Coturnix japonica: one gene and its partners. Each later gene encodes a partner of the first gene's protein in a complex. Links are inferred from orthologs where the notes say so. Each region holds a gene or a part of one and is shown in the gene's direction. Other genes may lie near its edges.

Region 1 (4,520 bases):
GGACACTTGTTCAAGCACTCAGGAATCAGTTGATACTAAAACCAGAGCTGTGTTACTGTGAGCACGGGAGAGCAGTGGTGTTGATTCTGGCACATCTTGCTCTGGCGTGGTGTCTGCAGGACAAGGTGCAAAATTCTTGCAGGCAGGGTAGCAAAGTGTGAGCAGACAAATTAATGCAAGCAGGAAAACTGGATCTCAGCTTCTTTAAACGTGCCACACCATTTTGACATGATCTTTTAGCGCTCTGAGTGCCTGGCATTTGGCGTGGGCTCAAGTTCAAGCTGTTCCACTGCCAGAGCACTCTGTGGTGAGAGACCTGGGGATTGAGTGGGAGGAAATAGAAAATGAGCTGTCCCAAAATGAACACACGGCATCAATTTTTAAAAAGGAGATGCTAAAATGGGCCGGTGAAACTGCTCCGTGATGCAAGATCTGCAATTAATTCAGAATGATGAAGTATTAAAAAAGCTCCCTTGTGCATTCAGTGTTACTCCTGCAGTTTGGTGTTCAGTAACATCGCATCCTTTGGATTTTTCTGCTGCCATTGTAGGAGCTTTTGCAGGTGTATTAATCAGCAGCTGCTGAGAGTTGAGCCCTATGCAGGGTCCATCCTCACACTGGTGTATGCTGACTTCTTTGGCCAGTCACTGGGAAGCCAATCCCTGTTTGGCACAGTGATGGAATGCAGGCTGGAGGGGATGCTCTATCCCCCTTTAATATCAGCTCTCTCTTCCCAGTGGAACTCCTGGTCCTTGCCACCCACCCTGCCATGTGGCCTTTCCCTTCCTTTGATTTTCTTGTCCCCATCTCCTGCCCCAGCAAAACCTGCTCTTTTTTCTCCTTCCACACTCTGAGGCTTTTTCTCTGCCTCAATTTAGCGGAGGGTTGTTGGAGTTAGGGTACTATGGTTAGGCTGTGGTTGGACTTGATGATCTTTTAGGTCTTTTCCAACCTGAGTGATTCTATGATTCCCTGCTTTTTCTGCTGTGTGTTCCTGCTGCCTTTCCTATGCTGCATTTGGAAGCTGCTGGATCCTGTGGGAACAGATGGAACTCGGTCACTCAGCAAAACCAGGAGAGCTTTGTGCTGAGCTGGCTGAGCGAGGGGCTGAGTGCCAGGCATGCTCAGGGAGGTGCCTGGGGTTATGGCTGCAGTGAGTGAAGGGCAAGATGAGGGGAAAAGAGGCAGCTTTCCACTTTTACCAACAGCAAGTAGGTCTGGAAGCTTTTGATGTTGTCTTTTTTTGTTGTTTTTCATCCCTCCTTTCTGCTCCCCCTGGTTGTTTTTTATCCAAGAGCACCTCTTAATGTCCTGTGAGTGTCTCTTCTTTTCTGTGACACTGTGGTCTTGAGGTGATCAGTCATCAGGATTCCTGATAGTCCTTGTGGGGGTCCAGCCCCACCTGCTGGTCCCACCCTCCTGGCTCCAGCTGTCTCAGGCAGCAGCCTCTGAGGAGCAGAGCTCCACACATTCACATTGAAAGCACCGTGCCTCATGCTGAGCAGTACAGTTGCACAGTAAAGGAGATGTCATGTTTGTTAGGTTGTATTTTACTTCTGAAAAGTATCCAGGGTCCTGCCTGGCCCAAGGGAGGTGCGCTGTGGGAGCTGCCCCAGCATGTTCTCCCTCTGGAGAGTGTGCTTTAATTAAGACAAGCTTTGAAAGATGGAAGATTTTGTTACTGCTTTCAGTGTAGCTTTAATTTCCCCTTTTTGGGTATGTGGTGTTGATTTTTAACTTCCTGTTTATTGAGGTATGCGTGTTAAGTGCCAAACTGGCAAATGTGTGTTGTCATGAGAACTTTAGTTCGAATCCATCCGGCCACGTGACTGTTTTTAGCTGACTTTCCAAAGGAAACAAAGCTTATGCAAATGTTCCATCTGCCTAAGAACCTTCTTCAAATGAATGTCTGAACTTACCAGCCCCTGGAGGCGGCTGTGATGGAGGGTTGGAACCTCCATTACATCAGGATGTTGTGACTGGTGAGGCAGTAGTGCTCCCCATGAGGACAGAGCTGAAGTTTGGATTCGACTGCCTTTTATTTTTGCTGGTTTGCCATTTGTCCAACCAAAGCGAGGGGGGATAGTGTTGGAAAAAAGGGATCAGAGAGTGTATAGGAGAAGCTGCAGTTATTATGAAGGACTGGAGTTGCAGTTATGGCTAAAAGATAGGAATCTGTTGGGAAACAGGCTTTATGGAATGTTGCATGTCAATGAACGTGAATATCAGGAAGCTGGTGTACTGGAACACTTTTAGATACACTTTGTGTGGGTCATTTGTCAGCCTGAGGTTTCTTACAGTCAAAGCAAACACAGCTTTGGACAGCATGTAAGTCTTGTCTTTCTCTTGAAGGTTTTCAAGCCATACCAGGCATCGCAGCATGACATGTGCAGATTCCACTCCGAGGACTACATAGACTTCCTGCAGAGAGTGAGTCCCAACAACATGCAGGGCTTCACCAAAAGCCTCAATGCCTTCAATGTGGGCGATGACTGGTGAGTGCTCTGTGCCTCCTGTGAACCTGGGGGTGGAAATGCTGCTGTGATCTTGCACTGTTTGTGTCTGGAGAACTATTGTAGTGTGTACTGGTTCTTATTTTTTAAGCAGAATGAGGTGCATGCCCTTCTTGAGCATAGCAGATTATTGCAACCTCCTCAATTCCTTCCCCTTCTCTTCATATCTTATCATCCTCCTTTTAGATCTGCATTTACATCCTAAACTGGTTATGTTAGAGACTGTGACTCCGCTTGTTCTTGCAGAACCTCCTGTTCTTCTTGAAAATATTATATATCTATTTTTTTAAACTGTTGCCTATTTTAGCTACCTTAATATGTGCATGTTAAGTGCAAGGTAGCTCTGAGAGCCTGATTTTCAGGTAGAACTGAGGAGAGTTTAATGCTTCTATATTCACATGAGAGCTTGTTACAAATATTCAGTTCCAGTCTTTCACATCTGTGAGAGGCAAACCTTGACAGAAGTGTGTAGAAGGGCTGTATGTGATCGAGGAAGTGCACAGTATGCCTTGTCTGAGGAAAGTAATGGCTGTCAGAGAATAAGACTGTTCTTTTCTATTCTTTGGAAGGGAAAGCTGTAAGTACTAATGTGAGAGGAGTGACATTAGATAAAGAACAGTGTTATCCCAGTAAGGTATTGGGATAGCCGGGTTTTTAATATTTAGACTGGGAATCAGAAGGCTGTTGTGCAACATTACTTTGATCAGAAACCACTTACAAGAATACAGGGGGGGAAATAAAAGTCTCTAAGCTATTATTTGTCCACGTATAATGTTTGTGATGTGATACTTGTGAGTTAGTGGCACATGGGCACCACATCTTCTGTTTCTATACCCTCTTAGAGATCCTGGTGCATTTATTGGCTCTGCATGGTGGGTTTGGTCCTGCCTCAGCTCTGCTGTAAGAGCTGCATTCACATCCACTTACTGTATATTGCATCCTGTGCTGTGAGTTGGGAAGGGGAATGGGCAGGGTCTTCTCAATGCTGATAAAGGAAGATAGCATGGGGCAGACCTGTCCTCCTTCCCAAGTCATATCCCAGCTCTGGACACACATCAGCAGGGCTGCAAGACAGATGCTGGTGTGTTGTGGCAGAGGAGAGCTCTCAGGACTGGCTTTGCTTGGGAGGCGTGTGGAGGAATAAGAAGATGTCCTTTGTTTGAATCATGACTTCTTTTTTTCTTTTTCAGCCCAGTGTTTCCAGGGCTCTTTGAGTTTTGCTCTCGCTACACTGGGGCCTCCTTGCAGGGAGCAACGCAGCTGAACAACAAGGTAACAGAGCTGATGGGCTTGTCTTTGAAACACTGGTAGGAAACAACTGGCTATCAGTTCAATGACATGAATGTGTTTAGTATAATAATGTAGCAAACTATGCTTTTTTGCAGTGTAAATTCTTTCCACTATATGACTGTAAAGGTTAAGACCATTCCTATGTCATTACAATGACAAAATTATAAACTCAGTTAACTTGGAAGAGACTTCTGAGATTATCAAGTCCAACTGTTCACCTAACAATGCAAGTCTACCACTAAACTAAATCCTTAAGCTCCACATCCACAAGTCTTTTCAATATCTCTAGGAATGGAAACTCCCCTGCCTCCCAGGGCAGCCTGCTCCCTACCTGACCACTCTTTCTGTGAATAAATTCTTCCTGATATCCAATCTAAACCTCCCCTGGTGCAACTTGAGGCTGTTTCCTCACATCCTATCACTTGTTACCTGAGAAAAGAGACTGTTATCTCCTTGCTGCATCCTCCTTTCAAGTAGCTGTATAGAGTGATGAGTTCTGTCCCAAACATCCTCTTCTCCAGGCTGATCTGCCCCAATTCCTTCAGCTGCTCCTCATATGCCTTCACAATCATTTAGCTGTTGAATACAGAGAGAGTCACAGCTTGCTAATACTGTGCATAGTAAATCCAGAAGTGCTTTTAGCACTGTACAACAATAAGCCTGTGTTCTTCAAAGAAACTCACCTGCTGAGAGATGTCCAGAATGCTGCTAGGTGTC
Region 2 (5,018 bases), on another chromosome or scaffold:
ATTGACGCTGCGCTCCCGCTGCCCGGCTCTGCCCACCCCGTACCCTGCATTGGAGCGTGTGCGACAGCCATGTGCGGGCACACACCGGGCAGTCTCCTGGACACAGTGTGTGTGAGTGCTCTGCAGTGTTCTCACAGAGAACCCGAGCTCATGGCACGTTTTATCTGCGGTTCCTGATCTGTTTGATCCTACAGACTTTGCAGGAACTCACAGGAGAACCTACAGCTAAAGACAAGCACTGGTTTGGAAGGAGCAGTGCTCTGGGGTTCCCAAAACCAAGCTGTGAACTGCTTTACCATTCGGCCTTGCAAGGCCTCTTGCAGATCAGCCTCCAAAGTGTTTGGGGATTGAACAAGCATACAAACGTATACAGTGACAAGTTAAATGAAGCATGTTTTTCTAAGATGTGGACGTGTAGAGCACACAACAAGAGGTGGTGTTCAGTGGGTAAGAACACAAAGCAACTGTATTTTGATGCATGGAAATGATCCAAAAGGAGCCGCCTCAGCGCTGGGCACCACGTTGAGCTGGGGCTGCACCCACGATGGCAGAGCCCCGGCTGCACCTCTGGGTGCCTTTAATGGCTGCAGGGACGGGGCCCAGCACCAGCAATGTGGGTTAGCAGCAACCAGCTCTGCCTGTCGGTGTCGTAACCTTGTGTGCCGTGTGGGGATGCAGGGCCGGGTGGAGGGGGCAGGGCTGCGTTCCGGGATCCTCCCGAGATGGGAAGCACGGAACGAGCATTTGAGGCAGTACGGATTCAGCTGGCAGAGTGACAGGCACTGCAGCTTCCACCTGCCTCATCCACATCACCCTGCCCACAGCAGGCGTAAAAAACAGCCGTGTAAATAACAGCCGTGTAAAGAACAGCCGTGTAAATAAGAGCCGTGTAAGTAAGAACCGTGTAAATAAGAGCCGTGTATGTGCCCCGCGCTCCCACAGCCGCAGCATGGCGGCAGCGGGCCCGTGAAACCTGGGGCGGCAGCCGGTGTGCGGGAGCGGGGCCGGGCTGCGCTGACAGCCGCTCTGACAGCGGCGGGGCCGGACCGAGCCGGGATGGCCGCGAGAGCAGCGCGGGCTGATGTGCCGGCCGGCACCGGGCATCGGGCACCGGGGATCGCGGCCCGGCGAGCGCTCCCCCTCGCTCGGTGCTCACCCGGCCCCGCACCGCCGTCCCCCGGCCGCTCCCGGCTGCAGGCCGCTCCCGGTGCGCCGTCCGCCCGCGCCGCCTTACCTGGCCGCGGCTGTGCCCGCGCCTCCATGGTGCCGGGCGGTGACAAAGGAGCGGCCCCGCCGCCGTGTCGCCGTGTTTCCGCACGGCCGGTGGGGCACTGCGCCCCGCGGGCGGGGCTGCCCCGCTTCCGCCCCGCGCCCCGTCGCCGCCGCCTCCCGCCCCCGTCCGAGCAGCGCAGCGCGGCCCGGCGGCCGTCGGAAGTGCCGTCAGGCCGCCCGGAAATGCCGCCGCGCCATCATGGCGCCGGTGTCGCGCTCCCGCAGCCCGGCCGCCGCCAGCCCCGAGCGCCGCGGCCGCCGCTCCCGCTCCCGGTCCCGCTCCCGGTCCCGTAACGGATCGCGGCGCGGCTGCCACCGGCGGAGCCGCAGCTGGTCCCGATCCCGGGAGCGCAGCCCCGGCGGGACTCGAGCCTCCGCGCACCACGGGCACCACCACGGCAAGGCCTGGCCCGAGTACTACGAGAAGGAGAAGGAGGAGATCCTGCGGCAGAGGCCAGTACCAACGCGGGAACGGGGAACGGGCAACGGGCGGGTCTGCGGGCTCTCCCTGCTTGAGGCTGGGAGCCGCCGGCGCTGCACGAGCCTCTGGGTGCCGGGCTGGACTCTGCCCGCTCGGCCTGCGGGCGTGGGTTGGGCTGAGGTTGTTATTGAAGTCCCGTTCTCACGCTGTTATGGGCAGTGGGACATGCCCGCAAGCAGCTGCTCGCTGGGTGCGACGTGTCAGCGTCCAGTAACGGTGTGCTTCATTCCAGGAGACTCAATGAGAGGGAGAGAATCGGAGAGCTGGGAGCACCTGAAGTCTGGGGGCTTTCGCCAAAGGTTCCTGACCCTGAGTAAGGCACAGTTTTGCTTCTCACTCTGTTTTTTATGATATCAATTCTAGAGGAATTTACAATAACGCATGAGTCCTCTGGTGCCACAATTCATTGTGTCAGAAGCATCTGAACCAACATAAGCAAACAGACGTTATTCAGATAATCCCATCACATCAGTTACTCAAGACATGACGCAATTACATGATTTCCCATGGCAGGGGGTTGAAACTGGATGATTGTTATGGTCCTTTTCAACCCAGGGCATTCTATGATACATTCTATACTGTGATAGGTGCCTTTTCTGCTGTGGTTCTGAAAACAGTTGCTGTCTCGCACGCTGGCCATTGCACAGTTTGCTCTGTTGCAAGTAGTGGCTCAAAATCCACAAGCACGTGTTTCAGTGTATGTGTGCATCTGATCTTCAGTTACTAAATACTACAAAATAGATCTTAAAAAGCAAACTTGTTTTTCTTCAGTTCTGATGAGCACACGCCAGTAGAAGACGAAGAGGCAAAATCCAAGAGCAGCTCTTCGGATTCCAGCTCGGAAGGTATTTGGCTTTGTTTATACAGCTCATTTTGATAACCAGTCGCTACCTAGAAACTGCTGTTGTTGCTGTCAGGAAGTTCACTGACTTGGGTTGAAGTGAGTGTGATAGGCCCTGTTGCTTTGGGATGCTCCAGATGTATACACGGAACTAAGTCTTCATCTTTTTCTAATGTTATCTTTTATAAACATTCCAGAGGAAAAAAGGAAGAAGAAGAAGAAGCGAAAGAAGAGAAAACGGAAGGCGTCCAAACGGAAACACAGAAAACATTCTGAGGACAGTGACAGCGAGTCCGAGTCCGACCAGAGCTCCAGTGGTAAGGGAGAACAAATGATGTCCAAGCTGTGTATTGAGATGTTCTGGTGGAGGCATTAACTAATTCACAGTGTATGCTTTTTGATGATGCATAATCTTCCCTTTTTTTTGTTTTTTGTTTTTCAGATGAAGATAAAAAGAAAAGCAAAAGGAAGAAAAGGAAGCACAGGAAGTAAGTTTCCAAGCTGTGAAGTATAATTGCATCTACTTTTAAGCGCAGTCTTAGCAGGAACGGAGGGAAGCTGAGCGCTCCTGTAATTAGAGCTGTAAATGCAGGTGGATAATCATAATTTGACTGGCATCAAATGTACAGAATCCCAGAGCACAGAGAGATCCTTGAAACACAGGGAGCCGCTTTCGAGCGCTGTATGAAAGCCATAACAGTGGATGTGTTGTCTTTGTTTAACTATCGGTTGTTTTCAATCAAACAGCAATGTAAATGCAGACTGTCCTTGGTGGAAGGTATCTTGAGAAACTCATAACTTGAGTATGACTCCTAGCACGTTTTTTTATCTTAAATGCTGGTGGATAACTTGGGTGTTATTGCAGGAAGAAGTACAAGAAAAAGAAAAATAAAAAGAGCCGGAAGGAATCCAGTGATTCCAGCAGTGAAGATTCTGATGATGGAACAGTTCAAGGGGAGGATCTCTGGATTGAGAGATCAAGTAGGTGCCCGTAGATTTGTCTTGAAACTTCTTGGTGTTCTTTTCATGCTTTTTTTTTTTTAAGTGTTTGCTGCCTTGTTGACTGCTCTGATAACAAAGAAGAGGCACAGTATTGATCTGCTTCACTATTTGATCATTGCAGAAAATACAGAAGCTGATAGCTTGATTGGACCAGAAGCTCCCAAAACACATGCGTCTCAAGATGATAGGCCTTTAAAGTGAGTACTCTAAATGGTACCTTGATTGAGTCAAGTAAATCTAGCATAAAGATTTCTGCTCAGAAAGACCTAAAATAATATGATTTATATCAAGAGGGATGCTGTACCAGAAACTAAGAAGTGGTAGTGGTGCTAGTCTTTACTCTGACCTGAGTTTAAGTAGAAAAGTCTGTTTTACGCATTTTAGCCTGGGTTCGTAGAAAATTAATTGGTTTTTACTTCAGTAAAGTGCCTTTACTCTAATGCTCTGCAGAGCTGTGACTTCATACAGCCTTCATTACTGGTTAACCAGAATTTATTAAACTGCTTACTTAAAATGTTCTTGCTGAGATTAGCTGTAAGTATGAAATGGGAACGTACTTGGGAAATAGTAAGGAAGTCCTTAAAATGTAGCTGGTAGTGACTGGGGGAGCTGGATGTTTGGCTCAGGCTCACTCTAGTTGAGACTGATTAAAATCCCTCCTGTTTGTCTCTCTGTTTCTTTAGCTATGGGCACGCCCTGTTGCCGGGTGAAGGTGCAGCAATGGCAGAGTATGTAAAAGCAGGAAAACGCATTCCTCGGAGAGGTGAGATTGGCTTGACCAGTGAAGAAATTGCATCGTTTGAGAGCTCCGGTTACGTGATGAGCGGCAGCAGGTATGTTTCTTATGATGGTAATATTTCAGTAACATTTTCCAAAGCTGCTTCCTTTGTTGGCCTGCTGAAAAGCTGTTCCCAGGCTGTAGCTGAAAGCTCTGAAGAGCACGTGCTCTGTACGCTTTCAGTGGCATATGCTGAACTCTACTGCTATATATAGATGCATAGTTTCTTAAAGTCACTTTTTCCTGAAGAATCAAAATTATTTCCAGATAGTATGCTTCAAATTCTCTTTATTTCAAATTAGATGCTTGTCTCCAATGGCCCTAAGGGTTGTGTGTTTGGACAGCAGAGGCTATGCGCTGGCTCTTTGGTATGAGACAAATTAATGTGAGAGGTTCACCATACCTTCTTCTACCAGTACAAAAGGAGGTTCATTTATATTTTGGCAAGCTATTTTGGGAGCGTGAGGGACTTCCTGCTCACTGCCTGAGAGCAGACACCCTCAGATGTCAGCTCAGCTATGCTCGTTCCTTGGAGGTTTCTTTGCAGTTTGGGTTCCCTGGTTTAGGTGTCTTTGTTTATTAGCCCTTCAAAACCTTCAGGTCACTTAATGGATGGAAGCTGTCACGGGGCGTTACGTCCTTCT
Region 3 (5,006 bases), on another chromosome or scaffold:
AACGGCAGAAGTCTGAGCTGGCAGAGCCCTCTGGAGGCCGACACACAGGATGAATTTACATTCAAAGTGGAGCTGGGGTTTTGGAAAGAGTGGGAGCCCTGCAGCAGATAGGTCCGCTGTGTGTCAGTAACAGCTGTGCACGCTGACAGTGTAGGGTGAGAATAAAGTGTTACTCATGTCTTACCACAGTATCTCAAAACAAAAACAAACAACCAAACACCAGCTTTTACAGAGGTTATCTCTGCATGAAATCCACGAGGATACTTTGTGCTGCCAAAGCCACCTGTTATGGCTGGAAAACAAGAGTTTGAGATGGAGCACCTGGAGTCCAGTAGTTCCACCTGCCTGCACGGGCACTTGTGAACTACACAGAACTCTTTGCTGGCTCCTGGGCTGACAACAGGTGGCTATGGGAGGCTTCAGCCCAGGTCTGAACCACCACTGCCTTCATACCCCTTAGCAAATCCCTTACTTGTAAAAGTGCCGGTGCATAGCAGAGCAACTCGATCCACTCCTGTACCCTGGCGTGCTGCCCTGACAGAGCCAGGCCCAGGACTCTTTTATTTTTGACTTGGGTTAATTTTTATCCCAGTCCCGGACTTCTCTTCCAGGTGGAATGACAGAGCAGGGAGTGAAGGCCTCGCCATGAGAGTGGAGTGACAAGGCCCTGTCACAGGACCTGCCTGCAGTGCTTGTGCTGTTTATGGCTTTTTCTTTTTTTCCTCTTTCTTTTTGTTGGGAAAAGAAACTCCAAAAGCAAGTTCAAATCAACAGTCATATTTTGCTTTATCCTCTGATAGTTTAATGTTTTTCAACACAATAAAATCCTCTTGCATGTAGAAACTGAAAAAAACCCACTAATTTTGACAAGGGCAGTGTTTAAATCAGCCCCTGAACTCCATGTTATGCCTCTACACCACCTGCCACCACGTGTGCACCGCAACCAGTGCGAGGACACCCGAACTGCAGCATCCTGCCCCATGAGAGCACAGTCCTACAGCCCAGAGCTGCCGCCGCGACCGACTGATGTGTGCGGGACGTGGGTACGGGACGGAGCGATGTCAGCCGGGTAACCGGCCAGGGACGTGTCTTTTACTCTGTCACTGGTCTTGGGCATTGCCAGCTACCCAGGCATGGCCCCAGGGCCGGGCTGCGGCTCTGCGGATGAAGGCATGAGGCTCCGAGTCCATACATGCCAGCAAACACGCGCTGCTGGGGCCGCCGAGCCGCGGCAGCGCTGTGACTGCGGGCAGATGACAGCAAGGTGTTTCCCTGCTAAACGCGCCCCAAACCGCACCGCAGCTCCTTGGCGACGTCGGGGGACCGCACAAGGCTGCCGGGGGGCGGGCGAGGTGCCGGAGCACCGTAACACCATCCGCACCGGGAACCCGCGGACACCTCCCGGCTGCGGGGCGCGGCATGGGGGCGGGCCGGGGCGGGGAGCGGGCTGGGCTGGCGCGGCGCTGCTCCCATGTGCACGCCCTGCGGGCCGCCGGACCCCGCGGCCAGCAGCGAGGTAAGGAGCGGGGCGGCGCGGGGCAGAGACGCGCGTGGGGAGGGGAAGGTCGGGCACCTGCCGCTGCCGGGAGCGGGACGGCCGGTGGCGAAGGGACGGCTCGTGCAGCCGCTGCCGTGCGGGGAAGCCGGGGGCGGTGCCGGTGCGGCGCTGCGGGGCTCCTGCAGCCCCACCCCGCTTTGTGCGGAGCGGCCGCCGCCATCCGCGGACGCGGGGACAGCGCGGGGACGCGGCGGGGAGCGGCTGTCCCTCGGCCGGGGCTGCATCCCCGTGGAGCGGTGTCCGCCTCCCGGCATCACCGCGTTGCCGAGGCGGCCCTGCGAGGAGCCCGCCGCTGCATCGGGGCTCCCTCGGGTCGCGGCGATGTAACCCCGCCCGCCCGACACCTGCTCGCCGTGCTGGCCGCCCTGCCTGGCCATGCAGCGGTTGGGCATCCGTAAACTTCGCCTGCGATCCCGAGAGCAGCCCCATGTATGTGCGAGCGGCAGGTTGAACGAGGAGCCTTTGTTCTGGAGTCTCAGGAGTGCGGGGTGTGGGATGTCAGTGCAGGCTGCGCCGCACACACGGGTCCCGCGGGTGGGTGCCCCGTGTCCCACCCGTGCTGGAAGGGAGGGAGGCTGGATTCACCAGTCGGCTCTGTTAGATTAAGGTCCACTCAAGGTCCAAACATAATAATCAGTCTTAAAGAGAATGCCTGTACTAAAATGGTCTTTGAAGTGTTGTCACTCTCGTATCTAAGATGTGCAGCTGAACTGTGTGACTTTTAAAGAAACTGCAATAAACCCTGTATTACTTAACAACTTCTAGTGGGAAAAGTAAAGAGAGAGAGAGATAGACAGGAACGGAGAAGGTGACTATCAGTTGGGGTTCCAGTGTTGATGCAGCCCACAGGGTTCTTAGTCTATGACAGCTCTCCTCCCTAAGTCCCCAGGTCCCACCTGAGCTTCTCGCAGCCATCCTATGCCTGCGGGGTCCACACGTCCGCAGTCAGACCCACGTTGTGTGACAGTCACTGTGTCCTCCCTTAGGACAGGAGTTTTGGCCAGAGCGAGCCCATCCTGTTTCCACAGGGCTCCCTCTTGACCACATCTTCGAGCTGCCTGTCTGCTGTCACAGCAATGCTCTTATCTTACCACAGATAAAGCATTTCTCTTGGGCCCACTGCACTGGGGAGGCGAGTGATGTGTGGTGCCTCTCTGAGCATCCACAGTGCAGGGAGTGGTGCCCTCCTGCTTCTGGTTGGTGTCCATGGCAGTGGTCTCCCTGCTGGCTGTTATCTGGACCTGTGATGGCTCTCTGACTCTGTGTCTGTGATATTTTCTTCCTTGAACACACTGGTTTGTAACCTGGGAAACATTTCAGTGAATGGATAACATCTTGAACTTTTCTGCATCTGGTAATGTTATTAGCAGCTGGATAATGAGAGGATTTGGGGATGTCTGGCTCTGTGCTGGATTTGTGGCAGCTCTCTTGGCACTGAGCCTGCTGCTGGTCCCTGGAGCTGTCTTGTAGGACCTGCATGGGGACCATTTTCTCCTCCTAGTGGGGCTGCCAATGCCCCTGTTCTGCATGAGGTTCCCTGTCCTTCCAGCTGTGGATATCCAGGTGTTTTGGTGTTGCAGAGATATAGGAAGGGCACTGGAGGTATCTGTAAGTGCCCATAAAGGAAGATGATGTCCTGGAGCAGGACATGGATGCCTCACAGATGAGCTAAGGGAAGTTTTGTGTTCTGCATGACCATGTGGGCTCCTCTAGATGTGGTCCTGACATCTTTGTATTGCTTGGCCAACAGTGGCTTCAGCGGAAGCCTTCATCCCAGCTCAGTGGGCCCCAGTTTCTAGAGTGAGGATCTCACAGAGAACCTGTCAGAGGGTGGTAAGGCATGAGAGGACTTCTGTGAAGGAATAGGGTGCAGGAAGACCAGCCCAGAGCAGTTCTCTGCAGCTGCTCTTGGTTGGTGCAACAGGACCTCTGTACTTGTTATTTATATATATTTGGTGTGTTAGCTTCAATGGAAAAATGAAGGAACAACTGCTCCTCCTGCTTCCCCCCCGTTATCTTCCTTTCTTCCACTTATAAACAGCAGTGGTAATTTTTGGCAAGGATGCTGTAGCCAGTGTTGCGGAGGCTGTGGGGCTGATGCCTTGCTGTGTGGGGCTGCATTGGTTGGATGAGACTGGCCTCCTCCAGGTGGAGGCAGGGCCGCCAGCAGCCTGCTCTCCTGCTGCAGGGCACAGCCAGGTGCCCCTGGCTTCCCACAGGTGCAAGCTGAGCTGCTTGGATTGTGCAGAGCTGGCTGGAACAAACCGCCAGCGGCGTGCGACAATTATACTGGCGCGCCTTCTGCCTTCTCGCAGCAGGAACAGGAAAGACCTTGGGGTAAACCCCCTCTGTGGGCCGAGAGGGGTTTGACACACACAGGGTGATGCTGGCTGGTAAGTGGAGTCAACCTGGCCTGGTATTTCCAGGGATTTCCCCTTTGCGGTATGACAGGCTTGCCAGCAATTCTCCATATTGAAAAGACGCCCTGCAGGGCTGTGCTAGGGTAATGCTGACGTTTGCTCTTCCCAAGGCACTCTGACGTTCACAAATAGGACTTCTCAGCCCTCAGCCAAGCAAAGCTCTTTCTCAGACTCAGGGGCATGCCACAGCCCATGGAAGGACCACTAACAGAACTCAGCCCTGAGACCGTTCCCTCTTTCCCTCTTGACTGTCTACCTGCTTTGTTTCACCCAGCACTGCACCCTGTGGTGCACAGTCTGAAGTCTGGCTTCTCAGTCCCTCTCTCTTTAGGTCACCCTTCATAGCATCACAGAATCATAGAATGGCCTGGGTTGAAAAGGAGCACAATGATCATCTGGTTTCAATCCCCTGCTATGTGCAGGGTCACCAACCACCAGACCAGGCTGCCCAGAGCCACATCCAGCCTGGCCTTGAATGCCTCCAGGGATGGGGTACCCTTCTGGGATGTGCAGGGGTTGTGCTTGGGCTTTGTTCTGGTATGCAGGGATGCTCACCCTGCAGAGGGATGGTCTTCTGCACCTGTCTGCACCACCTCTCAGTCACTGAAGGACAAAGTTACCAAGAAGGACAATAAGGAAGACAAGGCAGCAGCAACTCACAGTGCCTATGGTATTTTTATGACTGAATTTGAGGCAAAGTCCACGGAACCTGATTAGATAACTTCCAGAAAAGTGGGAGAGGTTGAGGAGCTCCATCTCGTTCTTCCTCCCACAGCCCCTAGAGCTGTGCATGAACAGGGTGAGCAGTGGGGAGGGAAGGCAGGTTTGTCAGGGCTGCTGGGTCATGGTTACACAGGCTTTTAGAAAAGCATAGCTGCCATTGTGCCTCAGTTGCTGGTAAAGCTGCAGCACTCCTTCCTAAGGAACCTCACCTTGACTCTGTTGAGAAGGCTGTCTGATTACTTGAAAGATGCCAGGAAGGACCAACCTTCCTTTTTGATCCTCTGGTTTCTTCCATTCTATCTGGC

Evidence for each region. The genes of interacting proteins can lie anywhere in the genome.
Region 2: HDAC3 (region 1) and NKAP share a complex: the UniProt entries of both Homo sapiens proteins name them as parts of the notch corepressor complex. The link is inferred for Coturnix japonica from reciprocal best matches to the Homo sapiens genes HDAC3 and NKAP.
Region 3: HDAC3 (region 1) and CORO2A share a complex: the UniProt entries of both Homo sapiens proteins name them as parts of the N-Cor repressor complex. The link is inferred for Coturnix japonica from reciprocal best matches to the Homo sapiens genes HDAC3 and CORO2A.

The regions. Positions count from the first base shown.
Region 1 is NC_029528.1:14,737,066-14,741,585, forward strand, and holds part of HDAC3 (histone deacetylase 3), read left to right. Parts: intron 1-1,962; exon of another isoform or gene 1,963-1,982; intron 1,983-2,352; coding exon 2,353-2,495; intron 2,496-3,703; coding exon 3,704-3,785; intron 3,786-4,520. UniProt on the Homo sapiens protein: Histone deacetylase that catalyzes the deacetylation of lysine residues on the N-terminal part of the core histones (H2A, H2B, H3 and H4), and some other non-histone substrates.
Region 2 is NC_029519.1:15,371,302-15,376,319, forward strand, and holds the start of NKAP (NF-kappa-B-activating protein), read left to right. Parts: upstream 1-1,456; 5' UTR 1,457-1,471; coding exon 1,472-1,725; intron 1,726-1,985; coding exon 1,986-2,066; intron 2,067-2,524; coding exon 2,525-2,598; intron 2,599-2,791; coding exon 2,792-2,911; intron 2,912-3,036; coding exon 3,037-3,082; intron 3,083-3,459; coding exon 3,460-3,575; intron 3,576-3,717; coding exon 3,718-3,793; intron 3,794-4,279; coding exon 4,280-4,429; intron 4,430-5,018. Other genes in the region: ZBTB33 (transcriptional regulator Kaiso), read right to left, coding at 1,235-1,262. UniProt on the Homo sapiens protein: Acts as a transcriptional repressor. Plays a role as a transcriptional corepressor of the Notch-mediated signaling required for T-cell development. Also involved in the TNF and IL-1 induced NF-kappa-B activation.
Region 3 is NC_029547.1:62,366,560-62,371,565, reverse strand, and holds the start of CORO2A (coronin-2A), read left to right. Parts: upstream 1-1,444; 5' UTR 1,445-1,471; coding exon 1,472-1,516; intron 1,517-5,006.